4 linked regions of the Elephas maximus indicus genome follow. The protein of the gene in region 1 interacts with the protein of each later gene in a pairwise test. Links are inferred from orthologs where the notes say so. Each region holds a gene or a part of one and is shown in the gene's direction. Other genes may lie near its edges. The genes, in order: EDA, PLN, MAL and DOLK.

Evidence for each region.
Region 2: the proteins of EDA (region 1) and PLN interact in binary tests that used the Homo sapiens proteins (3 or more experiments, as listed by UniProt). The link is inferred for Elephas maximus indicus from reciprocal best matches to the Homo sapiens genes EDA and PLN.
Region 3: the proteins of EDA (region 1) and MAL interact in binary tests that used the Homo sapiens proteins (3 or more experiments, as listed by UniProt). The two-hybrid records come from large-scale screens. The link is inferred for Elephas maximus indicus from reciprocal best matches to the Homo sapiens genes EDA and MAL.
Region 4: the proteins of EDA (region 1) and DOLK interact in binary tests that used the Homo sapiens proteins (3 or more experiments, as listed by UniProt). The two-hybrid records come from large-scale screens. The link is inferred for Elephas maximus indicus from reciprocal best matches to the Homo sapiens genes EDA and DOLK.

Annotation. Positions count from the first base shown.
Region 1 is NC_064846.1:100,697,154-100,704,641, reverse strand, and holds the start of EDA (ectodysplasin-A), read left to right. Parts: upstream 1-4,475; 5' UTR 4,476-4,779; coding exon 4,780-5,163; intron 5,164-7,488. UniProt on the Homo sapiens protein: Cytokine which is involved in epithelial-mesenchymal signaling during morphogenesis of ectodermal organs. Functions as a ligand activating the DEATH-domain containing receptors EDAR and EDA2R. May also play a role in cell adhesion.
Region 2 is NC_064819.1:185,739,830-185,747,790, forward strand, and holds the start of PLN (cardiac phospholamban), read left to right. Parts: upstream 1-4,942; 5' UTR 4,943-5,053; intron 5,054-7,961. UniProt on the Homo sapiens protein: Reversibly inhibits the activity of ATP2A2/SERCA2 in cardiac sarcoplasmic reticulum by decreasing the apparent affinity of the ATPase for Ca(2+).
Region 3 is NC_064835.1:89,430,130-89,437,878, reverse strand, and holds the start of MAL (myelin and lymphocyte protein), read left to right. Parts: upstream 1-4,749; 5' UTR 4,750-5,014; coding exon 5,015-5,107; intron 5,108-7,749. UniProt on the Homo sapiens protein: May be involved in vesicular trafficking from the Golgi apparatus to the cell membrane. Plays a role in the maintenance of the myelin sheath, and in axon-glia and glia-glia interactions.
Region 4 is NC_064827.1:79,930,348-79,936,999, reverse strand, and holds DOLK (dolichol kinase), read left to right. Parts: upstream 1-3,980; 5' UTR 3,981-4,311; coding exon 4,312-5,928; 3' UTR 5,929-6,148; downstream 6,149-6,652. Other genes in the region: nucleoporin NUP188, read right to left, coding at 3,865-3,896. UniProt on the Homo sapiens protein: Catalyzes CTP-mediated phosphorylation of dolichol, the terminal step in de novo dolichyl monophosphate (Dol-P) biosynthesis. Dol-P is a lipid carrier essential for the synthesis of N-linked and O-linked oligosaccharides and for GPI anchors.

The DNA of each region.
Region 1 (7,488 bases):
TAGGGGAGGCCAAGGAAAGGACTTGGAGTGAGATGGAGAGTTATTGGAGGATCTGGAGCAGATGAGCTACAGGATCTGACTTACATTTTGACAGAATGCCTCTGACTACAGGCTTGATGTTGTGTGCGATTGAATTGATACCGATTTATAGCAACCCTATGTGACAGAGGAGAATTTCCCCATAGGGTTTCTTAGGCTGTAATCTTTACGGAAGCAGACTGCAGAATGCCACATCTTTCTCCCATGGAGCAGCTGGCAGATTCAAATCACCAACCTTTCAGTTAGCAGCCCAGCGCTTAACCATTGTGTCACCAGGGCTCCTTCTACAGGGTAGGGAAGGACAAAGTATATCTATCTGATGGAAGTGGAAATTGAAAGGAGGAAGATAGATATATGGGTTAAGAGTTCAGGGGAAGGTGGTGGGAACATATAGGCCTTATCCCAAACTCTAAGGATGCAAAAAATGGGGCAGTTTTTGGCAAGGGCAAAGTAGGTAGATGCTTTTCTGTGTTTCTGCCATGTTCTTGAGTATTTGTATGTTTTTCCTCTCATCTCCTTTTGACGAAAGGCTCCTGGACAGCAGGGACTAACATTTACTATGCATTTATTATGTGCCAGACACTTTCACTTATAGCATCTCATTTAATCATAGCTAGATTAAAAAAAAATAATATTGTCATCTCCATTTTCCAGATGAGAAAACTGAGGCTCTCTGCAAGACAGGTAAAACTCACTTGTCCTAGGTCACACAGCTGGTAAGTGAATAAGCTAAGATTCAAACCAGGATCTAATCCAAAGTTTATATTCCTTCCAACTATCTGTTTAACATTAAGTGGATCAGAGAGTCAACTCTGTGATCTCTATGTCAATTATTTGTTCTGCAGATTAACCAGAGCTAAGAGGTACTGTATTTCAAAGCAGTTTCTGCCCAACTCCCTAACATATTCCACTCAATTGATGGGTATTCAGGGTCTTCAGTTTAGCTGACTTATTTTAATATTAAGCCCAAATTAGAAAGGAAAACTTGATGGGGCAGAAAGGCCAATGAGTTACTATAAACCAATTATATTTGAATTTCTGGATTACTTACTTTTCTGGATTATTCACAACCACTATGGTAGCATTAGTTTTATTTCTTTTGCATAGTGCTATACAGTTTGTATACAACAGGTGCTTCTTAAGTGATACTGACAGGTATCCTTTAGCCCAGTTCCCTTTTTGGAATTCTAGGTAGTCTAGGTTACCATAGCAGACTTCATGCCCTATTCATTTGATAAACAATACTGGTGCCTGCTACGTCATAGGTGCTCTGCTAGATACTAGTGATACCCAAATAAAAAGAACACCGTTCTTACCATCAAGGAACAGCTCAGGATTTAGTAGGGAGAGAGCCATGTGAAAAATTAAAAATACAATATAGTAGGTGATATCATTGAGCTATGCTCAAGGTACAATCTGTTTGGAGTGGGCTGTGGAGCCCAGAGGGAACATATGAGTTGATTCTTGAAGAATTTATAAGGTTTCCAAGGTGGTGATATTCCTGACAAAGAAAAAAGCTTGTGAAAAGGCACAACTGTGACAAAGCAGTCAACTAATTTAGTATCGTGGGAGCATGTGTTCCCTGTAGGATGGTGGAAGATGAGGTTGGAGAGGCAGTTTGAGACCAGATTATGAGTACCTTGTAGGTCACGCTAAGGAGTTGAGATCTTGTCTCCTGTATTACAGGGGTCAGACAAAATAAGTGAGTGACAAGGACAATATTAGAGAGAAGAGGAAGGAGATGGGGGTGGGGCGGGTGACTGTGGAATTTGATAGCCTGTGTTTGTATCAAGGGGTCAGTTCTAGCTGAATGCAGCCATAAGGGAATGTGGACACTCTGGGCTTATTTATTTGTTTCTTTAAACAGAAACAGGAAATCTGGATTTTTTTTTTAATGTGAAATGTCCTGATTTCTAATTTTTTTTAATTCAAACTTTTAGCCAACGCTGCATCAAACACAACACAACAATTTGCTGGATGTAGCCTGCGGGCTGTCATTTTAAGACCTGTGGTGTAGGTAATGGGGTACTTATGGAAGCATAGACACTAACTGTGGAAACACTTAAAAAAATGACCATGTACATTCCTCACTGGATTGCCCCAGACCAACAATTCTACTGCATATAAAAACATATGTTCTTCCTCTGGGGGCTGTTGAGTTGAGCAAAGTGAGGCACAAGGTCAAATACAACCCCCAGGGCTTCTGAGGAGGATGGTGCAACTCAGGGTCTCAGTTAAGCTGTTAAAAACCTGATAGAACATGGTAAACTGAGACCAGTATGGCCCCTGAGCATGACCACCACCACCAGAGATGGCTTCATTTGTCCCCTTTTCATTTTAGGGGAAACAGGGACAGCCTCTTTGAACTGTGTACGCAACCAAGTCAATATAGTCAGTTACAACACAAATAAAAGACAATGTTATAGCTGTTCAAAATCCTCATTTTACAATTGGAGAAACTAAGGCCCCCAAAAGCACAGTGACTTGCAAATTAGTGGCTATGCCAGATCTCCTGACTCCTAGTCTAGCATTATTTTGAATAATCCTGGGCTGTGATAATTAAGGTAAATCAGCCTGGCAATTTCCCCAGCAGCTGGAGTTCCTGGACTGGACAAGCAGGACTTGAGAGCAGCTGTTAAATGTTTTTTTGTTTTTTTTCCTGTCTGTATAATGAAACCCTGGTGGTGTAGTGGTTAAGAGCTATGGCTGCTAACCAAGAGGTTGGTAGTTTGAATCCACTAGCTGCTCCTTGGAAATCCTATGGGGCAGTTCTACTCCGTCCCATAGGGTTACTATGAGTTGGAATTGACTCTGCAGCAGTGGGTTTTTTTTTTTTTGGTGTAATGATGATATTCTTTGAAAACTTTATATTTCATGGGTTAAGGTTAATGAGAGGACACAAAGATGTTGTTGAAGCACGGAAACCATTCACAAAGTGTGTGGAAGAAAAGTTGGCTGTGGCTGAAATATTTAAGACCTATGGTCTCTGTGCTTTCTGGACTGACCTCCCACCAGATGATTTTGGTTTAGTTTTGTTGTTTTCCTTTTGTCTCTCTTCTATTTTACCGCTATTTTTCTCTCCCTCCCACCAGTCTAGGTTATAGGTCTTCCCATCCACACTCCTGGGCATTGTTGAGCCTCCTTGGTGGCATTCGTGATGGCTTTGTCATATCACTGAAACTGAGAATTACTTGCTTCTCAATTAATAACATGGGAATGGGATTGCAAGGTGACCAAGAAGCATGAATATTTCCTTTCTACGGTCATTAAAAAAAAAAAAACAAAACTTTCTTTTCCACCACGGTCATTTAGCTCTCTATAATCTCCAACTAACTGTTGTTAATTATGACTTTTGATTTAACTAATCCTTTACAATCTTCATATCAGGATCTATTGTTCTGACATCTGCCCACTTTTTTTGTTGTTGCCTTGAATCCTTTTCCGATTGGTGCAGCTGTTAAAGATGCTGCAGTTGCAGCAGAGTACATCTGGAACATTTGGCTGACTTGTTGAACTTCCCCTAGGGACTGCTCCAGGGGAAGGAGAGGAGGGGTGGAGGGGCCAGAACAGTTGCCTGCAAACAGAGATGCCAGTACTGTCTGGCCATTCTGTGGACCACCCTTGTAAAAATCAACCTCATTCTGGCTCTCAGTTTCCCAATTTGCTCATTGAAGTCACGTGTTCTCCACTGAAAACTCCTGCTGCAACTGAAGAAGAGAAACTATTCTGGTTGTGAATTCTCTTATATAGCACTTTTTACGAAGTAAAGGGATTTTATACATGTTTGCTGAATTAACATATAAGAAATCTTAGGGGACTGGTTTGACCTTCAGGGGGCAACATCACTTCAGTCCTGCCTGGCACAGGTCACCTTCTTCCTCACTTAGATTGAGCCCCCAGACTCAGTCCAGGAGGGAGGCTGCCTGAGTCACACCCCATTCCCACTCCCTTTGGCTCCCAGGCTCCCGACTCTTCTTTTCTTCTGGCACGCCAGTGGATTACAAACACAGCAGACATGGTTTCATTCCAAACCCAGAACTGTTTTAATTAGTTTAACCTCTGTTAAACGCTTTGAAGTTCGAAAGTAACAGATAAGTGCTGAATGATGTTATTAAAAACTAAAGTTAATTGCAAGCATTTCTGTTAATCCTCGTTTCTGCCTTCTTTTCTTTGCTCTCCTCTTTTTCCCCCAAGGTTCCCAAATTCTTCTCAGCCTTCCCCTCCTTCCTTCTCCCCCGTACTGGCGCTAAAGGGTTAAATAGGGGTGGAGTCCAGGGATGAACGACAGCGGCAGTAACCTACCCGTACCGGGAAAGCGGGAAGAGCTGGGTGGGGCTGCCAGACAGAGGCTAACCCACACGCCTCCAGGCCCCGCCCCGCGGTTTGAGGCGCCGGTGGAACGACAGGGGGCGGAGCACCCAGACTTGGCGGGACGGGTGGTTGGGCGTACCAGCAGCCCCTTGAGGGATGGGGCGGGGTCGGTCAGGGCCTCCTCCTTCACTCCTTCGGCGGGCAGAGCCGCCCCTCTCTCCCGCCCCTCCTCCTCTCTTTCCCACCCTTAGGAGTGGAGCTGCACATGCGGCTGCTCCTTGCTGTGTCCCGCCCAGCCACCGACGCACAGGAACGGGTCCCTGGAGCCCCCAGCCGATGGCAGGACAGTAGCCGCCTGTCAGGGGTCCTGAACGGTTGAGGCAGACGCGACGGCTCCTGGGCCTCAGAGAGTGTGTGTCTCCGGAGGCCATGGGCTACCCAGAGGTAGAGCGCAGGGAACTGCCGCGCCAGCGGGGAAGCCAGGGCTGCGGCTGTCGCGGGGCCCCTGCCCGGGCCGGCGAAGGGAACAGCAGCTGCCGGCTCTTCCTGGGTTTCTTTGGTTTTTCTCTGGCCCTCCACCTGCTGACGTTGTGCTGCTACCTAGAATTGCGCTCCGAGTTGCGGCGGGAACGGGGAACCGAGACCCGCCTTGGCGGCCCCAGCACCCCTGGCACCTCTGGCACTCTGACCAGCCCCAGTGGCCTCAACCCTGACGGTCCCATCATCCGCCACCTCGGGCAGTCGTCTCCTCAGCAGCAGCCGCTGGAACCCGGAGAAACCACACTCCCTCTCGACTCCCAGGACGGGCACCAGGTGAGTCACCTAGGAGGGGCGGCGGCAGCAGAGGCCCCCTTCCCTTGTGGATAGGGCGGGGGCCCTCCACCACAGGGCCCTGGGAGGACTCTGCCACCTCGAGCCAAGTTAGAGGGCAGGACCAGGAAGGGGGCAGGCCAATGAGGGGAGGGGTTGCCCCAGGGCAGGTTGTTCTAGGTCCCCGGCCCAGCTCACCCAGACTCTATGAATCCCTTGAATTGGCAACTCCGTCCGGTGCCTGCCTCTGCCGCCCCCGGCTACGGGCTACCTCAGGGAAAGTTGGCAACGCTCTGGCCCGGGCCGCGGAAAGGAGGTGCCCGCGCTGCCCCTCTGAAGGGTTAAGCGCGAGCAGCTTGGCCCCCTGGTCTTGGTGAGGTTCTCTGCCCACGGTGCTTGTTTTTTCGTGTCCAGGGCTGGTGGCAGCACTAGTAGACTCTCCTTTGGAGTTGGAGGTATAAACAGCTGTAATAAACGCTCCACGCCCGTTGAAACAACAGTTAACTGTATTTTCAGCGCGGGGTCATTGTGCGCTGACCAGTCGTGGGCTTGTTCACACTTACCTGCAACTTGAGACTGAAAGCCTGGTGGCGTAGTGGTTAAGTGCCACAGCTGCTAACTAGGAGGTCGGCAGTTCGAATCCACCAGGTGCTCCTTGCTGTTCTATTCTGCCCTATAGGGTCGCGATGAGTCTGAATCAACTCGACGGCAATGGGTTTTCTTTTTTTGGTTTGTCCTCAGTGCTCTAGTGAGGATTAGCGCCCCTGAGGAATCCTGGTAGAAACATGCGGTCTTGTTAAACTACTTTTGAAGAGCAATTTAAGAAAATCTATGGAAATAAAACTCACCCTTTGCATGCTATTTCTAGCTTTTTTTGGGGGGTGAAATGGGGGAGGTGGGTGTGAAGTGTCGTCACTATTTCTAGCTTGAGAACAGGAATTTATTGATGGGATAATTTCTCAGGAGTAGGGTCGCTGTGAGTCGGAATCAACTCCATGGCACACAACTACAGCCTCTCAAGAGCAGTTTATTTATATTCTATCTTTATGGTGTTTGTGCCCTGATTAGCAAACTTTGGTGTTTGTTTTTTTTTTTTTACTTTCTCTAGCTCTTTATTCAAGTAAACTTAGTATAATTAAAGTATTGTCTCAATGTCTATGTTTTGTCTTAATAGGGAAAGCATCCAAGGATCTTTTTGAGGTGGTTAAAGAATAGCGAATTTGTACCTCTTGAGGAAGAGGGCAAGTTGTGCAAATAAGTTCCTTGAGGTTGGGGAGGCAGGCCTTCTATATTTACTGCCACATTCAAAGTAATTGTCATAACTCTGTAAACATTATTTGTGCTAATTTGACCACCTAGCCAAAGTTGTACTCTATAGCCCATCCCATTGCCTTTGAACGACTCTATAGAGGCATCATATTTATAATACTGTAATGTTAAGACTGACACATTTTTTACATTGCACATTGAAAAGTTGCCCTGAGCCTTGAAATGTCTTGCTTGCACACTCCAACTTATATAACAGCTTATCAAAGAAGGGAATCAGCAAACATGCTTCTCATACTTGAAACTTTAAACAGTGTGACTAAATGATAATTAACTAGGATTTTGGCTCCTTTATCTACCCATCCCCCCTACCAATGCCCAGCAGAAATATTTAGCAGCTGAACAATGAAATTCTGTGGAAAGATGAGGGAATTCAGCTTCTTTAGTCAAATGTGGCCAAACATTTTTTGGCATTCAGAATGGAGAGACACATCTTTAAGGACTGAGGTTAACAGAACAGCTGTACTCTAGGGCTTTTGTAATGACATGGGACTATCACAGGTGTGTAATGGAGTTTCTTGCCTGCTTTTTGCATGGCATTTTAAATTGCTCTGTCAGGTTTAAACACTGATTCCTATCTTCTGTCCTTTATTCTTTCTGTTTTAATGTTTTTGAGCAGTAGAAGCAAGCACACTGGCTGTTTATATTTATTGACATCAACTGGAGTCGATGTTTTTTTAGAGTTACGTGGGGCCATATGAATCAATTTTATTTGATCCTCTAGGAGGACATGTTAGGCCCTGGGTGAGGAGTGACTTGGTCAAGGTCACCCAACCAGGGCGACAACTAGTATGGAAGTTGATCTCCTGACTTGCAGTTCAGTGTTCATCCCCCTATGGCATACTATCTCCTGGGGACTCTTTTCGAAGGGGGAGTGGAGGTACATAGTAGATTTTTTACAAAGTAGAGGGCTCAGATCTGCACCATTTTCTTCTACTCTACCTACGTTTTGACCAGACTAAATTTAACCATGTATTTCTTATTCTTCCTTCACTTTCAGGA
Region 2 (7,961 bases), on another chromosome or scaffold:
GGGATCTGGGAAGCCTAACCTAAAAAATCTCCCTATCTTTCAAGTCTTGTGTGTATCACAAAAATTCATTCAAAGCTTACATTTGACTGTGTTACATGTGTAAATAGTAAAATGCTTTAATTTAGCCATCGGTTAATTTTTTGTCAAAAAGTTTCCAGAAAAACTGGTCTACCTTCCCTCTCTTTTTTCTACCCGCCACCCACCCAATCACATTACTATTAACAGGAGTTTAAATACTCAATGCAAAAAAATTACGCAATCATGATATTCTTTACATAAAGTTGAAAACAAGCAAAATAAAAATAAATACTTTTAAGAAATTACAATGCCATAAAACTATATAAAAACAAAGGGAATGAAATAAACCCAGGATCCAGAATGATCATTTGCTTGGGTAGGGGATGATGAACTAGGCAAGGTCCTGTGTGGTTAGGTATAAATTATTGCTAACAACTGCCTTTTGTTTTAGGTGGTGACTTCACAAGTGTTTATTACGTTATTAAAAATAACTAACTTATACCAAAAAAGCAGGTCATGCATGGACCAATGTTAAGAGTGCATAAAGAACCATGTATCATTATGAATCCAACAAGGAAAGAAAAAAATTGAATTAAAAAAAAATGGCTCAATATAGGAAGATTGGGCTTAGGGTATGACCTTCCTTCACTCTCACCCTCCAAACATATTTACATTTTTAAATAATACGAAACAAAGCTATTTTCTTGGTTATTCTACTCTTGGAGCCCTGGTGGCGCAGTGGTTAAGAGCTTTGCTGCTAATCAAAAGGTTGGCAGTTGGAATCTACCAGTTGCTCCCTGGAAGCCGAAGGGGGCAGTTCTAATCTGTCCTACAGGGGCACTATGAGTTGGAATCAACATGACAGCAACGAGTTTGGTTTTTATTTTTATTCTACTCCTATCCAACATCTCAGTCATTCACATCTTTCTCTTCATTCCCATGCTGAGCTTGAAAATTGCGAAGGATTTCTTAGCTGTCCTTAACACTTACTTCTGCAGCATAACTTTATCACCTGTCAATCTTTCCCCCATTTTTTCTTTATTCATTCATGCAATCAGTACTTAAGCATTACCAGGAGCAAGATTCTACACTAAGTAGTAGTATTATAAAGAATAAGGGCGCAAATAAGAGTCATTGGATCTCCTGTCAGGGAGCCTGTAATCTAGTCTACTCAGACACATTAATAAGCAAAATAAAAAGTGACAGTTAACAACAGAGATACATGCAAAATTGTTCCGCATAACGGGAAGGGGGAAGGGAGGGCTTCGCAGAATGGGTAAATTGAAACAGCACTTCCATGGGAATAAAGGTTGGTAAAGGCATTCCTGCAAAACAATAAAAAAAAAAAAAAAAAAATACCGAGGCTTAAAATAGCACTGCTTGAAAAGGGCCACCAGCAGCTGTATATAGGGCCAGAGTACAAGGTACAAATGTGATAAGAGATGAAGCTAGAGGGAAAGGGCTGAAAATACAAACTAAGAGGTTTGGATTTTAGCCTGAGCTGCCTGCCTCTCTCTAAAAAGGGCTGTTCCATAAAACTACAGAAACATCCTCTGACACTAGAATTCTTAATTTTGTTGTGTGTGCCACAGACCTCTTTGGCAGACTGCTGAAGCCTACGGATCTTTCCTCGGAATGTTTTTATATACACAGAGCAATTGCAAATAATTATGTAGATACTCCACCCTTTAGGTAGTGAATCGTAATTATGGTCTATACGTAATAACTTTTTTCCAAAGAGTGAAGTATAGAAGAGGGCAAGGAGAGTAACTTCACGGTGGAGAAACCTGACAAACTACACCTCATTCAGATGATCCGGGTCGACATCAACAGTGATATGTGCTGCTGACTACCCTTGGTGTGATGTGATGAGATGGTACTTTACCTCTCTAGTCTCCCGGAGAATCACATTACTCTAGTCTAACTGTGAGAAAAACATCAGATAAATCCCAATTGAGGGACATTCTACAAAATATATGATCGGTGTACTCAAGACTGTCAAGGTTTTGAAAAGCAAGGAAAAGACTGAGAAACTGTCACAGTCAAGTGGAGCCTAAGGAGATATGATTGCTAAATGTCATGTGTAGCCTGGATGGGATCCTAGAACAGAAAAAGGATGAGAGAAAAATGAAGAAATCTGAATAAAGTATGGGCTTTAATTAATAGTAACATACAAACATTGGTTGTGACAAACATACGATACTACTTATTACCTGTTGCCATTGAGTAGATTCCGACTCCAAGCTACTCTACCCGACAAAGCAGAACTGCCCCATAGGGTTTCCAAGGCTGTAATCTTTACGGAAGCAGACTGTCACATCTTTCTCCTGCAGCCATACTAATATACATATAGAGAGTTCCGTTTGGCCTTATAATACATAATCATAATAATAATAAGCTAAACCAAAGGAAAAGGGTAAGCATTGAAGTTACTCACTCTTATACAAATCAGAAAAATAAGTTTCTTTTCTCCATTTTCCAAGTCAGACACACATAGTTCTTAGAATCCTTCTGAGATGTATGTATGCCTTTGAATGTTTTTAAGTAAATTTGCAAAAATGTGTGATATCTAGGACATATTTTATCCCACCTATGGAAGTTTCTTACTCAACTAAGTATTATTAATTCTATCTTCCTAGAAGTGCTCAAGCTACAATGATCTATCCCCTAAGTTTCATTTTCAAACAAATATGTAACTGCCGGACAAACTTAAAGCAGATTTTCTAAAAATAGCAACAAATCTTCAATAATTCATCCATTTCCATCTTATATGTTTCTTAGCTGATACATGATATTCTGTAAATTATTTTTAACAAAATGCCAGTCTATCAGGGAATTATAACTGTACAGATCTGGATTTGAATCCTCGTCTATTCCTCAGCAGTTGTGTCGTCTCTCACATATTATTACACACCATTTTAGGCTTCTAGGTTTCATATTATCAGTCATCACTGACAATTCATAGCAATAAGAAGTCCTTATTATGTAAGACTGAAAGAAAAAAATGCTTATAGAGTGCTGAGCACAGCAGTGTCAAACGTTATTCATACCATTTCTTTAATTTTATGTTTACTTTTCCCTTAGTATTCACAGAAGGTCTTTGCTAAAATATTATTTTTCACTTAGTTTTGGCTGATTCTTAAATAGAGATTTGCTCCAGAGATGGATTTTATCTTTCTTTGGGAGAAGTCAAAATCATCTCCATTTAAGGACACATAAGCAGCTTGCTGCTACACATTTTAGTTACCCATAAAGAAAGTGAAGCAGGCTGAGTTCAGTCCTCTATAAGCACAGATATTTTTTAAAGAACCTTTTCTTCATAGATCTTTATAGTTACGACTTATGAATAATGAATAATGAAATGAATAAGAAAACAAAGTCAAAAGAGAAATTCCCAGCTCGAGCCACTATTTTTCCAGAGCTGTTTTAAAATAGCCCTTAAAATTAAATACTGATTTTTCTTCTCTATAAATGCTAACTGCATAATAAACAGCTCTTCCAAAATTACATAAGAGATTTAAGAATTAGAACTGCAGGTGTGATACTTTAAGTAAATCCAATATAAAAACTAAAAATTAGACTAACAGAAAACTGACACCTGGCTTTTCCTAAGAATTTCCTTCCCTAGATCTACTATAAACTAAACTGTTCTACTAAGTTCAAAGTATCATTCCATTTATTAAAATTTATCGAGATAATTTTCAGGAAAATAACTGCTGTATTCAATGAAGCATACCCTTTTAGAAATACTACACAACATAAATTTCCAACACATGCATACCTACGTCAATAAAGCCTTTTTAACTAGGATGCAATGATTAGGAATCTGATTATTTCATTTTTTTACTAGAACGTCACCCTTGATACTGAGTCAGTTTACTCAAAAATTCAGAAAGCTTCTACGGTAACTTAATGCAGCTGGTAAAAAAAAATCTTAAATACTTAAATTTGTAAATTGTACCTTTTCTGGGGATAATATATATCAGTTTAAATTTCATGTAATGAAATTTTGTTTTGTTTTGAAACAGTGAAATACAGTGTTTGGAAATATAGTGTTTAGAAATACAGTGAAACCTGTGAGAGCTGGAACTAGCAGGGACTGCCTTGTTATTCTGGGTCTCGAAAGTCTTCTGCCTTTGACAAGGTACAGTCACCACTTTTCTAGTGCTCTCCATTTTGTGGAAAATACTTGCGTTTTCCTTCTGTAATGAGTTTCCACCTTACATGGGTTCTGGCTTCCGCAAGTTTTACTGCATATTTTAAAGCCCAAATTGAAGAAAACATAAATAAGCTAAACACATTGATGAGTCTTACTTTATCTATAATAAAAGATAAAGTTTATTTTTTAAACCAAAAGCAGTTAGTAGCCTGGTTTTCTTAAACACATTTCCTCCCCGCATACACACACAGGTATTGAGCAGCAACAACAAAATAAGACAAAAAAAAAGTGATTCTGTGAAAATGTTTAATTTTTGTCTTACTAACATTATAAAGCTAACAGTATAAAGCTGCAGTATTTTTTTTTTAAAGCTGTAGCAACAACAACTTGATGAAAATTGTTTGAGGCAAGTCAGTATTATTATTCTGACTCTATTAAAATTCATATTACTATGACCATTTTAGCTCTTCAATATTATCAACAGACATTTTACAGTATACAACTCTCTCTAAGCCTGAAGACACATGAAACCTTAAAGAGAGCTTTCTGAACACCACCCAAAACTTTTTTTTTTCATTTATCTGCCATATACTTTGTTAAATTAAAAAATGAAGAACACAAAGTGTTAATGACCTTTCCATGCCTAAAGTAAGACAAATGAAGTTCTGAAGAGTTTGGTTGTGATAAAACTACAGCTAACCAATCATAACTTCAGAATTCCTGTGTGACATCATAAGACCTCCCTAGAACACTTTTTCTCCTCCATGTACTTCAATTGTTCCCATAAACCTGGTAACAGAGTCAGAAAACTTCCCAGCTGACCACCTGTAAGACTTCATACAACTTAGAATACAGAGTACCATACTGGCAGCCAAGGTAAGAAGTAGAGTTCACTGATTTTGGTAATTTTCATTTTCTAAATTCAAACTTACTGAACTTTGAAAAAGCAGTTAATCACATTTTGTGAATTTTAGTTCAAAATTAGACAATAACATGTTTAGTATAACAAAAAGTTTAATTTCTAAAAAAATTCACATCCATTCAGTGACAGAAAGAATGAGCATAAAGGACTTAAACTTTGGAATTTGGGTCATATTCATCTTTGAACCGGGTTATTGGTTTGTCAGCTTATTTTAACTTCCACTTTTATTTTGCTTTTCAAATGTGAACTTCTGCCAATGTAAAAATCTTCCCCGTTATGTTTCCATATTTGGTGGTGGTGGTGGTTTAATTTCTCCATGTAAAAACAATGGCTTTATTTTGTTATTTGTTACTCTGCTGAGAAACAGGGCAGGACTGGTTGTCTATTTACATCTGGAATACTATGAGCAGTCGTGTGACTGCCCATCGGCGTGCCTGTTCCCCTAGGACATTGTGATTCCTTACCGTGAATAAATATAGTGGATACAATGGAACTTTAGAGTATGTAATACGAGCTACTTTTAAAATGCTCTTGAAGATTTTTTTGTCCTCTCTATAAAGTTCAGGCAACTTTTAACACATTTAAAAACCCAAGCTTTTAATAAATTGAGTTACTTATAAATTCAAGAGTATATTATAAAAAATAAGTTTAGAAACTTTAATATAACACCTGCCAAAAACACATAGAAAAATCTTTTCAGAATTACAGAATAATAAATTCAATACTTTCAAAATAAAAAAGTCATTTTGGCAGCAAAAATGTTCCTCAATATTTCATTTGAGCCAATCTGATGAAATGTATGTTTATTCTGCCTATCAATGGATATAGTTTTGTCAAGTGTTTGCCAGTGTTCCTCAGTTTTCCTCTTCCGCATTTAAAGAAAAGAAAAAATGCAGAGGAATGGAGATGCTGCAATAAATATTATGACTTCTATTTCAATTCTACTGTGTTATAATCCTCAATTTAATATATATATGAAATGTTTCCTCATTCTTAAATCTCTACCAGTCATAGCATAAAGAATATGACATAGCTTTTATTTCATTATTTTTATTTTCATACATATGCAAAAATAAAATTTACCTCTAGAATTCTCAGTTCCTCTAAGTGTTAACTTTACCGCTCACTACAAGTAAGAACTTCATAATTCTGTAAGCAGCTTTCCTTAAGAATGCAAAAATATTTCTAATTTTTTTCTACCACTGAGGCACCCCAGTTGCTTCTTAATATCTTCTATGAATGTTCTCCCTTTCATATTACATAAGTCACTCAATGCATGTGTTTTATGTGCATATTTATACATTTTATTCAAATATAAAATTACATTCTCACACTTCAAATGAGGTCACAAGTTCCTTTATTGTACCAGAACTTCACCATATCACATACTGCCCAAAAAGTAGACAATTTCTAAAAACAGCAGAAATGCTCTACTAAAGTTACCCTTAGCTAAATAGTGTGTCCGGGTTAACGGAACTTCCGTAACTACAGTGACTGTTCAAATTTCAAACGTATGCCCTCCTGCCAGACATTAGGCCCCAACTAGTTTGTTGCTATGAGTTGGAGCCGACTTGATGGCACCTAACAACAACACGACAGTTCACTGCTGTCACTACGAGGTAAAACTTAAGTGTTGCCTTTATTTATAAAGACATGTGGTTTAAGCCTAAGTGCTAAAATTTTTTTTAAGTATTAGGTGAAATACAATGAAAAAATGTGAAGGATGTCTAAACTGTGAAAAACTCTGTTTTAAAACTCTGTGATAGAGCTAGAGTACTTGCTTTAGTAAGAGGAGCCACATCACTCTTATTTCTAAAAACTCTCAGATATTTTAATAACATCTTAACAGACACAAAGGAAAATAATATTCCAGAAGTAAACTTCATTTGATTACATATTTATACATATTCTTTCCTAATCTCACTAATTAATTGGTGACAAGAGGAGAGTATCTGTATAAATCACTAAATTAAAGAAGAAAAAACTAAAGGTTTCAAATGTGAAGGTTAGAGTACCTCTCTAAATTAGTGGGTTTTTTTTTTTTAAAAACAATCCTGGAAATGAGGGTCATTAAAACTTCCTTCTTTATTTTTGAAGAACAATTTTCTAAATGCACTGTGTATACAAATACCCAGTTTGATCCTCTAACTCCATATATACTACACACAGCATCTCCATTTTACAATTTAGGAAACGAATGCAAACAGGTGAACTGCCAAGGTCACAGAGCTAGGAAATAAGAAAGCACTGGTTGGAACCTAGGTTTTATGACTCTAAACCACATGATCATCCTATACACCAATCAACATGGGTTAAAAATAAATCATGACACTGGCAAAGCAAAATGGACTTCAAATACTGTAACTGGCAATCTAAAAGGCAAATCCAGAGGATGCAAACTTCTATTTTAATTTTAAACCATTTCAAGTTAATTTATGCATCAGGCCTTACGCCCTTGATAGCCTAAATAATACTCTCCTGATTAAACAATACACCCTGGAAGGCAAAACTCAAAAAAATTGCACACTTCAAAAAACAAAAACACATGCCACGATCAATCAAAACAAATTTTTCTTTTATTTTACTTGTTTCACTGCCAAAATCTCATGCCTTTGATTCATTTAGCTGCCTTGATAACTGGAATAAAGGTTAATTCCTCCTCAAAACTTTTCACAAAATCTACACTTGGGTACTTTCCTTCAGTCCATATTAAATTCTCAGTTTTCCTCAGTTTCATTTCTATCTACCTCATTCTACCATCTAAATATCCAGCCCTTTGTTCTGATATGCTTGATCAGAGAAATCCTGCTTTGTTATTCATGCTATGAAAACCAATAACTTTTACCTAAATTGTGAATTAAT
Region 3 (7,749 bases), on another chromosome or scaffold:
CCAGGAACTTCTCCTTCCTTTTCCTTCAGCCCCACAGCTGGAAGGACGGGCCTGTTTTTTGTGACAGCAATCAATGAACCCAAAGATACACATAGTGTCACCGGTGTGCAGTCTGCTGGCTCCTTGGCTTTCCAGAACCTGGCTCGTTTTTTCCCTCCTTTCCTCTCTCCTGCCCTTCTACAAGCACGCATCCCTCCTCCATGGACCAGGCACCGTGCTAAGCACGGAGGACCGAGATGTGAATTGGCATGTTCTGACCATTCTCCATAAGAACGTTCCACTCTTCTGCACAAGGCACGCCCTCCTCCTGATTTTGTATTCTGCTTGGTTGATGTTTTATCTGTTTTCTGATCTCAGGCTGTTACTGGCTTCTGGGAACCCTAGACTAAGTCAGAGACTCTGGGATGGTCCTGTACCCGTTTCCTTTGGCTCTGTTCCAAGTGCTTGGCACTGGCCAAGTGTTCCAAGGGTTAAAGGCACCTTGGCACATGTGGGACTCTGCTCCCTCCCCCCATAGCATCACAGAAGAGAACTCACACTGGCCTTGGCAAAGGTCTTGAAAGACCCACCCAGGATGCCTGCAGGTGCAACAGCCTCACCTCCACCACAGAGGCTCACACAGGCTGCTCCCATGGCACCCCACTGCCCGGCACTTACAGAATTTGAACTGATTGGGGGAATGAGGGAGCCTGGTGGCGCCATAGTTAAGGGCTCAGCTGCTAACCAAAAGTTCAGCAGTTCAAATCCACTGCTCCTTGGAAACCCTATGGAGCAGTTCTGCTTTGTTCTATAGGGTTGCTTGAGTTGGAATTGGTCCACAGCAACGGGTTTGTTTTGGTTTGCAGTGGAATGAGGGCAGGGTCTCTACTCAGTTTATGGTTTTATCTTCAGGGCGGGCTCAGTGCTGGCCACCCGAGAGGTGCTCCAAAATGGAGCCAGCCTGATCCAGCCTTGTTGTAGAAACACCAGCCCATGTTCCACCCCTCAGCCTTTGGCCCACAGTGACAGGGAAGCACCTAGTGCAGGCCCAGCTTAGAGAAGGCCAAGTGTGGATAGACTCTGGACTTGATTTCCCCTTTGGATGGAATCTTCCCAGAGAGCAGGGACTCTGTCCCTACACCCAGATTCCGCCCACAATACCCAGGCCATGCCAGTCCCTGTTGCACACTGAGGATCTCAGGGCTCAGTGACGACTTTCCCAGGTGGTGGCAGAGCGTCCGGTCTCCCTGGTCCTAGGAAACATGAACTAGATGGGGGTGGGGAAGACGAGAGGATAGGCTGTGCTCGTTGCCCCTGGGGGCAGCAGGCACATGGTACCTCATGGGTCCCCTCGCAGCTCAGTCCTGCGAGCAACCGCCACTTGTGGTTTTCAAGGCTGAGTGTTTTATGCAATAGGCACAGAGGCAGTGGGGACAGGGCATGACTTTTGGAACGAAGAGACTCGATTGCCAAAACTGTGGCCCTGCAGATGCCTGCACTTGGCCTGGGCCTGTCACCTCCCCACTCGAAGCCTGTGTGGTGGGAAACGCCTACCCAAAAGTCTCTGTGAGTTAAAAGAGGTCCTGTGGGCACTCAGTAGGCACTCTGAGGCTGGCTCCCCTCCATCCTCCTGAGCCCAGGCAGGAGTGCCATTCATCCATCCACCCAGCAGGTGTCTTCACTGCCTCGTGCCATGGGTGGAAAGCAGCAGCTATGGAGAACACATCTGCTCAACAAATAAAACCCCTTGGGAGAGTAAGGGCCTGGCATCCTCATCCATCAGCTGGGACGATGACCACCAACTTCCCTTGTGTTTCTGGTCAGGAAAAGAAAGGTCTGGAGCTCCCTCAGCTGGGCGGAGACATCTTAGGGAGCAAATGTACACTGTACGAGGCTGACATGAGCATTAAGACTGGACTTGGGAGGCTGTCGATGGTCTGTACGGAGCATGGCATTTGGCTAACGATTGCCCACCTTGAGCGTGATCTTAATCAGCGCTTGCAGCTGCAGAGACACATGGCACTTAGGTTCAAGTTCGAGCTCCAGGACTCAGCAGCTGTGCTGTGGGGCTTTCCCTCAGCTCTCTCCTCTCTAGTCTCCCTCCCTATAGCACACAAAAGCTGGAGGGCCACTTCCTACCTTGTACTCACAGAGCAATCATGCTTTCTAGTTTCTACCTCACCTAGGGTTCTCAGCCTGCCCCAGGACATGTTATTCTTTCAACAGGAGCCCCGGACCCGCCCTAGTCTATTAGGTTGACCACCACATTCACACCCACTGTGTTGCTAGGAAGACTGAGGACATTGCAACAAGTTATTATTGGCTGAGGTTGAAGGTTTTTTGTTTTGTTTTTCTTTAGATTAAGAGACTTTTTTTAAAAAAGCAGTTTTAGATTTACAGAAAAATTGAACAAAAAGTTCAGAGAGTTCCCAAATCCTCCTTCTCCCTCACTCACGGTTCCTGCTATTACTAGCACCTTGCACTGGTGACATGGGTTCCTTATGATTGATAACCAATATGGAAACACTGTTATCAACCAATGGCCTTAGTTTACCGCAGGGTTCACTTCCCTTGTTGTACAGTCCTGGGGGCTCTGACAAATGCGTCCTGTCCGTGTCCACAGTTACAGCGCCATATAGAGAGTTTCACCACCCTAACAACGTCCTGAGCTCCACCTGCGCACCCAGGTTGTTTTTTCACGTCCTCCTGGAAATCAAAGTACGGTCTTGTTACAAATATGAACAACCTAAACCATCAGCAACTGTCCCAGGGCACCTGTTGTAAAATGAAGACAGACCCACCTCCACTGACCAATACTCTTTACCTTCAAACGGGGTCCTCCTACTTCCTCCTCTCGTCAGGTAAGGACCAGGCTGCAGTCCACACTGGCTTTGGGCAGATGTTGGCTGAGTACCTACCATGGCTGGATCCTCAGCTGGGTGGCAAGGATGTGCTGGGCAGACGGACAGACGGGAGGGGAGGAGGACGCCTTTCACAAGGCAGAATCTGGTCAGGAAGATGAACATCAAGCACAGGACTACAGATGAGATGAAGGACCTTTTTTGATTTTTAATTAGTATGTACTGGTAGAGGCACCCTGCTGTTAACTGAAAGGTTGGCAGTTCAAGCCCACCAGCCACTCCGTGGGAGAAAGATATGGCAGTCTGCTTCCATAAAGATTACAGCACTGGAAACCCTATGGGGCTGTTCTACTTTGTCCTACCGGGTCATTATGAGTCGCAATTGACTTGTCGGCAAAGGGTGTGGTTTATATTCTGGTAAAGAAATCCCCAAGCAGCTTTGGCTGGATTGGCTCAAGGGTTACCTCACCCACTGCAGGCTGCAGCTTTCGCTGGCAGCCTTGCTTTGATGCTTGTCCCCACCATGTCTCCTTGGGGAGAAGGAGATATCCTCCCAGGGGGCAGCTGGGGGTAACTAACATACTGTAAGATGCCCTGGTGGGTTTGCAGCCCTGGGGGCCGGGGAGAGGGGTGGTCCCTGACAACCCCACAGCCCATTGTGTCCATCACAGCTCATTCGGCAAGAGAAGCTCGTACCCTGGGGATCTTGGGGTGGGGGACGGGGGTTGGGGGAGGATACAGGTCCTGACACACAAGGTCAGCAGCCGAGGGAGGCTCACAGAGGTGTGGGGAGATTTTCTCATTTCAAATGCCTGGTTCCTCTCCGTAAGTATCATAGTGGTCAGCTCGTGGGCAAGAAATTTTTCTTTGGAAAACTTGCCCTAGAATTTACAGACTCTTCCTTAGAGACCAGGGAGGAAAAAGAGATGTTTAGAGGGGAAAGGGTGAAGGCCCCACTCGAGAGACAGGGGAACACCCCGTCCTGCTAGCAGCAGCTGTGAGTGAAGCCAGGAGAGAAGTGCTGGGGGGTCTGAGTGGAGGGCTGAAGGGCCATTTTCCTCTATGCATGACGGATCATGGGGGCAAATTTTAGGCTTCAGGGTTTGTAGGACTTTGAAAACTCGGAAGAAGTATTGAGGGTGCTAATTGTTTAAAAACAAAAGCAAAAAAGAATAAAGAAGTTCTGATCCAGGAAAAACAACAGGCAAAGGACATGGAGAGGAGAGACCATGCCACCGGCTGAGGTGGGAGGCCACCTCCTCTGAGAAGGAATAAATTCCTCCAGTGATGGCCGTTCTGTGCCCTGGATCCAACCAGCCCTGCCCCACCACCGCCACCACCAGCCTTCTTCCGGGCCTGGCAGCTGCAAAAAGGAGCCTCTGACAGCCAGGCCGACGCCCAGCCCCAGGACCCAGCAGACTGGTTCTGGGTGCATCCTTCCCAGGGTCGGGCTCCGAAGATGCAGGGAGAAGAGGCCCGTGGCCAGAGCGGGTCTCAGCGGCGTCCCTGAAGACCCCCAGCCGGCAGCCTGGGGCAGGACTGGGGACCCGTCCACCGTGAGCCTGAACTTGGATGTCAGGCATTTTAAAGCGCCCCGAGGAAAGATGAAGAGACCCAGGTTAAGAACAGTTAAAGCAATGGCGAGCCGGGGCTGGCGAGTTGCCATGGAGGGAGGTTTCAGAGGGAAATCCTAAGGGTCAGTTGTACTCTGTCCTATAGGGTCACTATGAGCCGGAATCAACTCGACCCGCAACGGGTTTGGTTTTGGTTGTTCGCGGTTTTCATTCTTAAGGGGTGGTGATCACCTACGAAGCGTGCAAAACTTTCGAAGCACCTCGCTACAAAGGCTTTTTTCCTGCCCCCGCGGGAGGTGGGACACGGAAGTGGATAGGTCCCTCGCCCAGTTACGAACGCCCACAGCGCGAGCTCTGTGGGCTTCTGGGCGGTGCCCCGGGCTCTCCGACTGGATCCCCAGGGGCGCCCCTGCCAACTAGGTAGGGGAGGGGGCGGGCGGTGTCCGGGCTCCTCCCTCCTCTGCCCCCGGCTGCCGGGCTCTTAACCCGCGCGCGGGGGCGCCCAGGCCACTGGGCTCCGCAGAGCCAGCGAGCGGTCAGCGCGGAGCCGGAGCCCGAGCGGCGCGCGTCCTGTCCAGCGGCCGACGCCAGCACGCCGACATGGCCCCAGCAGCGGCGTCGGGGGGCAGCTCCCTGCCCAGCGGCTTCGCGGTCTTCACCACCTTCCCGGACCTGCTCTTCATCTTAGAGTTTGTGAGTGGTTCGCGCGCCCCGCGCCCCGATCGGGAAAGGGGCGGAATGGGGAGCGCCGGCAGCTCCCTCTGGGCACCACACACCCGGCTATCTATCGGAGCTGGATGCGCAGGCTGCGCTGGTCCCCGGGGCATCGGGATGAGGGGATGTTTAAAGGGGCTAGATCCGGACAGCCCGCTCCCTGAGTTGTTTGGCCACCTTCTAGACCCACGAGAATGAAGGAAACAGTCTGCGGGAGTTGAGTGGAAAGCCGAATTCGAAACACGGCGACGGGTCAGGGTTCATTTGTTGCGCGCTGGTTACCAAAGCCGCGCGCTGGGACCTGCTTTCCAGGTGGCCCGCAGAGCAGGTTCGTTTCCTCGCCTGGGTTTCCTCCTTGTTGGAGAGCAGCGTCCTAGCAGGGGCGTTCAGGTTTTTCCGGGAGATGGTCTCGTTTTTTTAAAAATCAGCAAAAGAAACCTGAGTATTACTTACCGAGCTTTGGAGACTGGGTGGGTGTCGGAGGAAGAGCTGAGTCCGGGTTTTTCTCTTCTGCTCTTCTAAAGCTTCTAGCTAGTAAACATATCTGTGACAACTTTGATCTGGGAACGATCAAACAGAGGCTATTGTTTATTGCTCTGCAGCGGTTCTACCCCGTGTGTAGGGGGCAGGGGAGGTGTTGGGGAGGCTGGTGAGAGAAGGTCCCCTTGCCCTGGCTTACCCTGAGCCCTCAGAAGGCCTTGGCACCTATGGTTTTCCCGACTGCGACAGAGCGGTAGAGCTGCCACCAGTGACTAAAGCGAAAGGCCACTGTGGGCTCCTTGTGTGCGAAGGCTACCAGCCTTCTTCAGCCTTAGCTCCCTGGGAGTCACCAGCCCTTACCAGGTATGGTGGGGCTTTGTTATTATGCTGGTGTGGTGCATTGCAGCCGCAGGGACACGTTTCCCTGTGCCCCAACCACAGAAGCGACAATGTGAAGACTTGATTGGGAATGAAAAAGTCAGAACCTGGTTGTTTAAAAACGGGACCCCAGCTCCTTGTCTGATTTATAGGCAAAAGGGTGTGAATGCTAAAGGGAGCAGAGGACTGGGCTGGCGTGCATCAGGTTTCCTCACCTGTGGAGCATTTCGGGAAGGAGAAAAGGGTTCTCCAGTAGCCATCGAACTCGTGGCAAGAGTTAAGCCCAAACTTAGGTCTGTCTAGAGTGACTTCAGATCCTGGGGAAAGCTAAAACCAGCAAAACCAAACCCACTGCCGTCCAGGTGGTTTGGACTCATAGTGGCCCTTTAGGACAGAGTAGAATTGCCACACAGGGTTTCCAGGGAATGGCTGGTGAATTTACTGCCAACCTTTTGGTTTGCAGCCAAGCTCTTAACCACTGGAGATAGCTGGAGTCAAGGAAATGACATGTAGAAGAAATCCAGGAAACCACTGCGCCTAGCCCCTCCATTTATAGATGGGGACACCCAGTGCAGAGTAGGCAAGGACTGGCCTAAAGCCAGCCAGCTTTCCAGCCAGGCACTCTGCCTCCCTGCCATGGTCCTTCCATGTTCAAGGCTGCCAGGTAAAACCTGGAATATGGCCAGCTGAGCGTGTTTGGGAAACCCTGGCAGCAGAGTGGTTAAGTGCTATGGCTGCTAACCAAAAGGATGGCAGTTCAAATCCACCAGGCCCTCCTTGGAAACCCTAGGGGACAGTTTTACTCTGTCCTATAGGGTCACTATGAGTCAGAATTAACTCACCAGCAACGGGTGTTTTTTTAATGGAGTGTGTTTGACACAAGCACTGGGGCAGAAGGAGGGACCCCTCCCCCCTCCACACTCTCACACACACACACACACACACACACACACACGGCTGGCCCACATCCCTGAGCCCTGTAGCACCCACTGGAACATTCTTTTCCCTAGTGGCTCATTTCTATCAGCTCTTAGCCTGTGCTTGCCCATGGCTGGATGTCCACGGTCTGGGCATGACTAAAGGGTTGTTTCCTCAGAGCACGCTGCATTTAAAAAGGCAGTTTCGTGACCCAGAGAGATCATGTAACGGGGCAGAGAGATTTTTAAGTAAAAAAGGTCTTCCTGGTGTCTCTCAGGTTGCCCTAAGCAGCAGCTTACCCTGCCTTTGTAGCTGTTTGGGGAGCATGATAGCAAGAATTGTGGAGAGATGTGGTAGTGGGGCTTCGTGCTTTTGCAGAAAACTCTGGTGCTCCCTCCTCTTGCCCTGGGAGGAGCTGGGCTCAGGTTGCAGGCAGGTGTCCCGAGTCTGGCCTCAAAGAAGGAAGGCTTCCCAGCGATGCCTGCCTCCTGGCAGCACAGCTCAGGGGAAGGAGTGCTGCTGGGGGAGGAATAGCCCAGCTAGGCAGGGCGATCTGCGGGGGAGGGACAGCAGGGTCCCACCTGCTATGGACTGAAATGTGTGTTACCTTGGCTAGGCCATGATGCCCAGTATTGTGTGGTTGCCCACCTTTGTCTCATCTGATGTGATTGTCTTATGTGTTGTAAATCCTACCTCTATGATGTTAATGAGGCAGGATTAGAAGCAGTTATATTAATGAGGCAAAACTCAAACTACAGGATTAGGTTGTATTTTGAGTCAATCTCTCTTGAGATAATATAAGAGAGAAGTGAGCAGAGAGACAGGAGGACTTCATGCCACCAAGA
Region 4 (6,652 bases), on another chromosome or scaffold:
CACAGGAATCTACATCTTATAACAAGTATGCCAAATGAGTTCCTAAATCACCACTGCTCCAGGGCATCAATTAGCCTCAGAGAAGCAGACAAAAGACTTAGTCTATTGGCTCTCTCTGCCTTTTATCTGTTTGATATATTAGTTTTGGGGTTTATTTTGAGAAAAAGATTCTGCTACTAAATGAGACTAGAAACCACTCCCCTGGAATGAGGCAGTAACTTTTACATTTAATACTCGAAAAAAAAAGAAATTCTCATTGGTAAATCCATGTCATGTGATGGTCTTTATACGGTGTCAAAAAATAATGCTGTCGAAAACTTGAATTTTTGATAATAAGAAAAGTAAGTATCACGCAATTATGTCAGTTGTTGCTGTTAGCTGCTGTTGAGTTGGCCCCCAATTCATGGTGGCCACACATACAACAGAACAAAACGCTGCCTGGTCCTGCACCATCCCCATGATTAGTTGTATTTCTGACTGTTGTTTTCCACAGGGTTCTCAGTGGCTGATTTTCAGAAGTAGGTAACCAGACCTTTCTTCCTAGTCCATCTTAGTCTAGAAGCTCTGTTGAAACCTGTTCAGCATCATAGCAACATGCAAGCCTCCACCGACAGAGGGTAGTGGTTGTATAAGAGGTGTGTTGGCAAGGAATGGAACCCAGGTCTCTCGCGTGGATGGCAAGAATTCTACCAGTGAACCAACAGTATCTCATAATATGTCAGGCACACTGTCTTACTGAATACTGACAGCTTGTTTATGAGGCAAATACTGTTGTTATTCCCATTAGCTAATCTGGAAACTAAGGTTTAAAAGTGGTTAAGTAACTTGCCTATCACACAGCTAATATACTACAATGGAGCCAGGGCTTGAACCAGGTGCTCTGCATGACTCCAGAGCTCAACTACTACATTTCACTGCCTCAGGATGCACCCAAGAATTCATGCTGCCAGCAAGCAAAGATGTCAACTGAGGTGTTCTACAATAGCGGACCATACCCTTAACGTAGTAGCTGGCACAGATATTTGAAAGAATAAACATCAAAGAAAGGGAATGATATGGGTCCCTTTTAGGCTTGCAATCTAACTGGAACAGAAAAATCAAGAAAAACAATATATGCAGAAGTACCAACAGAAGGGAGAATAAAGGAGAAAATGGTAGAGTTATCAGGAACAAAATCTATGGAAGTAAGTCTAACTGGTTTCCTCAATACCTACATACTCACTGGCCTAGGAATAATGGGGATACAAATAAATCTAAGACCTTTATGATGCTAAGCTTAAGGGATGAGAACGGCAAAGGATATTAAATACACATTACACAATCGGCAAAAAGGAAGAAAGTACTAAACGGCATGATACTAACAACTAATACAAAGAAACTTAACCACATAGAACAGAAAAGTCAGAAGAGAGAGGGATTGCTGGGGACTGATTCAGTGATTGACAAAAGGCTTCATCTCAAATTGGGACCTAAAGGCTTGACTGAAACTTAGAACTGTGAAGCCCACCCAAGACTCGGGGAAATAGCTTCTATATATATTTCCAAGAAACTATGTGCTAATGTCTCTCATTTACATGCATAATACTCCTTTCAGCGAAGTATGTGGGGGAGACACTAAGGCACAGATTAAATAATTTGCCTCAAATTCAAAGGTAAAGTTTTAAAAACTTCACTATTTCCAGTCCAGTGTTCCAGCAAACATGGAACGTCATTCCTACAAGAGCTGAAGTTAATGGAGCCTGAAAATTATCTTCTTTAGTCATCCATCTCATTGGAAAGCTATGAGTGAAGGCTACTGGGAGTTAGAAATAACTGTTTCTACAATTCAGTCCTTTGGATAGAAAGCTGGGACACAGCCAAGCTACCTTGATGAGATATTTAATAAATAAAAGCTACCACTGCCCGTGGACGCTCTAACTTCACAGAGGAAGTATACCTCTCTTGTGTGAACTGAGATTTAAGCTCAGCAGCAAAAGCTTTCCAAATTGCAGTTCTATTTTTGTTTAGCACACCTACACCATTCAGACTAATTCAAACACTTTAACTGAAGAACGCAGGAGTTACAAGAAAAGTGCCAATATTCAAACTTTCTGCCAATTCCTGAGTGACCTTTCCAAAAGATTGATTTAAGGGTAGTATTCCTTTTTTTTTTTTTTTTTTAAACTAATGCCAGCTTGTATTAACATTCACAATGACTTTTCCTACAAAAAAAAAAAAAAGCCTCACAGCCACTTCAATACTACTCTGGAAATGATCTGCATTTGGAGAGACAGGTTCAAAATGGTGAGGTCGCTTGTCTGCAGTCATCTGCAAATCTGAGGCATCAGGAAGAGAATTAAGTTTTCTCTTAGTCCAGACCTACAGGCATTTCAGACAGAGGACTGCTGCTCAGTATAATTCCATCTGCTACTGAATGTGACTTTTGGCACACACACACAAAAAAATCACTCTCCTGATACAAGCCATGAGCAAAGCAGTGCCTAAGAACTCTAATGCCCTTTCTTCCTCCTTAGGATGAGTTTGGTAGGTTCCCCAGCATGAACAAGTCATCTTTCAGGCAAACCAATGCTTTCCTAATGTTCCTTTTCATTAAGGAACATGCTTTATTCTACAGGAGCCATAACGACTATGAAACAACCCTAAGAAAAGGAGGGCACAGTGGCTACAATGCTGTCCTGATACAATGGTTGGCATGAAACGACAGAGGAGAAAAAAGCAAACTGGTCCTCACAAGGTACAGAGGTAGTCCAGGGAAAATTCCAGAGGAGAAAAATCTCACTTTCAGCTGGGAAATTAAAGTGATGCCAGAGAAAACGGACAATATTTGTAATAAATACTAATGGCTTTTTTTTTTTTTAATTACATGCTATTCCTGGGTACGGAGGATACAGTGGGGAATACGACAAAAAAGTGGGGAAAACATTGTTGGCACTGGGAATATAAGCGCCATAACTACTTTGACTAGGGAAGGTGGGAGGGAGTAGAATGGACGAAACCTCTTCAAGGTGGAATGTGGAAGACAGGGGTGTGAAGGTTTCATTACAGTTCTGGAGTCGAACAGACTCGGATTTGAATCCTCCCTCACTTTACCCCTTAGCTAGCAGAGCGGGACTTCTGACTCATCTGTAAAGGGTACCTCACAAGAGCTGTGAGAATTCAAAAGGATCTCACCAGTGTCTGGCAAGAGCAAACCCTCTATATTGAAAACTGTATTATTCTTTTTAGCGTTTCGTCTTCTTGCTCCCAAAGCCTAGAACAGTGCCTGAAATCTCTTGGGAGATTTGAACACATCGGCTGACCGAATCAATGAGTAAAATAATGAATAGATGGGTGGATGAAAGGCTGAGCGGAGAATGAGGACAAAAACTACAAGGAGGTGGCTCTGTGCAACAAGAGAGCACATGAGGAGAACCTGAGAGGCAGGGAAGGCCCGGGACAGGTCACCGGGGGGCTGCGGCGGGGACGTGGGGGGAGGGGGAGGGAAGGAGAGGGTCCTCCAGGCGACCGCAAAGCGCCCGTTGCGCCTCGAGGTAGCGTCACAGCCAGACGAGGAAGCGCTAGTGGGGCTCCAAAGGACACACGGACGGGAAGAGGGGAAGAAGAGAAAAGGACTTGGGTGAGGAGACGGGAAGCCCAGAACTGAGGGATAAGGTGAGGAACCGGCCCTCCGCTTGGAGAAGTCCCTTCAGCTCCCCGCGCGCGGGGACCGTTTGCACGTAACCGCTTCCCGTCTCGGCGCCGTCTACCCAGCCGGGCTTCGCACCGCCACCGCCGCCACATCCCGCTCCCAATTCCCGCCCCGCTTCTGCTTAGTTTCGAGCCCGCGCCTCACAGCCAACCCCGACAACTTGGCCCGCTCCGCACCTCACACACGGCTCGCCGGCGGCCGCCGCCATCTTCCCGCGCGCGCGCCCCAGCCCCGCCCCCAGACGCGGCGCCCACGTGACCGCTCGCCTGGTACCTGACGCGTGGGGCGGAGCTTCCGTCACGTGAGTCCGGTACGGGGCGGGGCCAAGATGGCGATACCCGGGGAAGCGGAGAACCAGCGGCCAGGGTGTCCGCGGTCGTGAGGAAGGCGGCCGAGAGACGGTGTCTACTCCGTAAATTGGAGGCGGTGGAGAGTGACGGGACTCCAGCTTTCAGGCCGCAGAGAGTGACCTGCAGTGGAGTTCTGTCCTTACAACTGGAAAACGGAGGGAGAAGGTTACTGGCTGGGTGAAACCGTTGTCCTTTGCTTGGCGGTGCTGAGGGACCAAGAGTCCAAGGCGTCCCTAGTCACCCCGGCTTTCCGGGGGCCTCAAGCCTGGAGACATGACCCGAGATAGCGCTCCTCCGACCCCGGGGGCGGGAGCTCCGCTGAGCGGTTCGGTCCTGGCAGAGGCGGCAGTGGTGTTCGCCATGGTGCTGAGCATTCACGTAACCGTGTGGGACCGATACTCGTGGTGCGCTGTGGCCCTCGCAGTGCAGGCCTTCTACGTCCAATACAAGTGGGACCGGCTGCTCCAGCAAGGAGGCGCCGTCTTCCAGTTCCGAATGTCTGCCAACAGTGGACTACTGCCTGCCTCCATGGTCATGCCTTTGCTCGGACTGGTCATGAAGGAACGCTGCCAGGCTGCAGGGAACCCACACTTTGAACGTTTTGGTATCGTCGTAGCAGCCACTGGCATGGCAGTGGCCCTCTTCTCGTCAGTGTTGGCGCTGGGCATCACTCGCCCCGTGCCCACCAACACTTGCGTCATCTCGGGCTTGGCTGGAGGTGGCATCATTTACATCATGAAGCACTCGCTTAGTGTGGGTGAGGTGATTGAGGTCCTAGAGGTCCTGCTAATCTTCGTGTACCTCAACATGATCCTGCTGTACCTGCTGCCCCGCTGCTTCACCCCTGGAGAGGCAGTGCTGGTATTAGGTGGCATCAGCTTTGTGCTCAACCAGCTTATCAAGCGCTCTCTGACAGTGGTGGAAAACCAGGGGGACCCAGTGGACTTCTTCTTGTTGGTAGTGGTGGTAGGGATGGTGCTCATGGGTATCCTCTTCAGCACCCTCTTTGCCTTCATGGACTCAGGCACCTGGGCCTCCTCCATCTTCTTCCACCTCATGACCTGCGTGCTGGGCCTTGGTGTGGTCCTGCCCTGGCTGCATCGACTCATCCGCAGGAATCCCTTGCTCTGGCTCCTTCATTTCCTCTTCCAAACAGATACCCGCATCTACCTCCTAGCCTATTGGTCTCTGCTGGCCACCTTGGCCTGCCTGGTAGTGCTGTACCAGAATGCAAAGCGGTCATCTTCTGAATCCAAGAAGCACCAGGCCCCCACCATCGCCCGGAAGTATTTCCACTTCATTGTGGTAGCCACCTACATCCCAGGTATCATCTTTGACCGGCCACTGCTCTATGTGGCCGCCACTGTATGCCTGGCAGTCTTCATCTTCTTGGAGTATGTGCGCTACTTCCGCATCAAGCCCCTGGGCCACACTCTGCGGAACCTCCTGTCCCTCTTCCTGGATGAACGAGACAGTGGACCACTCATCCTGACCCACATCTACCTGCTCCTGGGCGTGTCTCTTCCCATTTGGCTGGTCCCCAGACCCTGTACACAGAAGGGTAGCTTCGGGGGAGCAAGGGCCCTAGTCCCTTACGCTGGCGTCCTGGCTGTGGGTGTAGGCGATACTGTGGCCTCTGTCTTTGGCAGCGCCATGGGAGAGATCCACTGGCCTGGAACTAAAAAGACTTTCGAGGGGACCATGACGTCTATATTTGCCCAGATCATTTCTGTAGCTCTGATCTTAATCTTTGACAGTGAAGTGGACCTAAACTACAATTATGCTTGGATTTTGGGGTCCATCAGTACTGTGTCCCTCCTAGAAGCGTACACCACACAGATAGACAATCTCCTTTTGCCTCTCTACCTCCTGATATTGCTGATGGCCTAGTTGTTGTGCAGCAGTAGTGATGGAGGAGACAGGAACATGGGGAGTGTGAATGGCCCCCACAGCAGCCAGCCACTTGGGTATGAAGAGCCAAGGGGTGAAAAGAAGATTGGACTTTTGGGTGGTTCAAATTTAAAATAAAAATCAAAGCTTTCTTGGTTTTAGTTTTGCTAATGTTAAAAAAAAAAAAAAAACAAAGAATAGTGCAGCAGCTCAAAGAATTCGAGTGTGCTGCAGACCCCCTCCCTCCACACACACACACCTAGCAGTCCTCAGAAGGGGCAGGAGTGGACACTGGAGGGAGGAAGTAGAGCATAGGGGTTAATGCTTCAGGTTCTGGTGTCAGACTAATCTGGTTAGAATCCTTGGTTGTGGCACTTAACTGTGTGGACTCAGTTCTCCTGTCTGCAAGATGAGAATTAACAGCGCATATCTCATGGGGGTGTTGTGAGGATCCAGTGAGATGAGATATGTAAAGTGTCCAGTCCAGGGCACGATGAGCAATCAGTGCGGGAAAGTGTCATTATAACCTGAGACCAGGTTCATCGTAGCAAAAAAGCCATGCGAGCCAAGGGGGCTTTATCAGTTGTACTTGGAGACCCGAGCGATCTTTACTTTTACTTCCCTGTTTCATTTGGGGTAGGAAGAACTGAAGGGGGGAGGTAGGGTCAGCTTGTTGTGTGTATGAAGAAGAGGATCAGGTCCTGCACTGATATTTTGTTTCAGC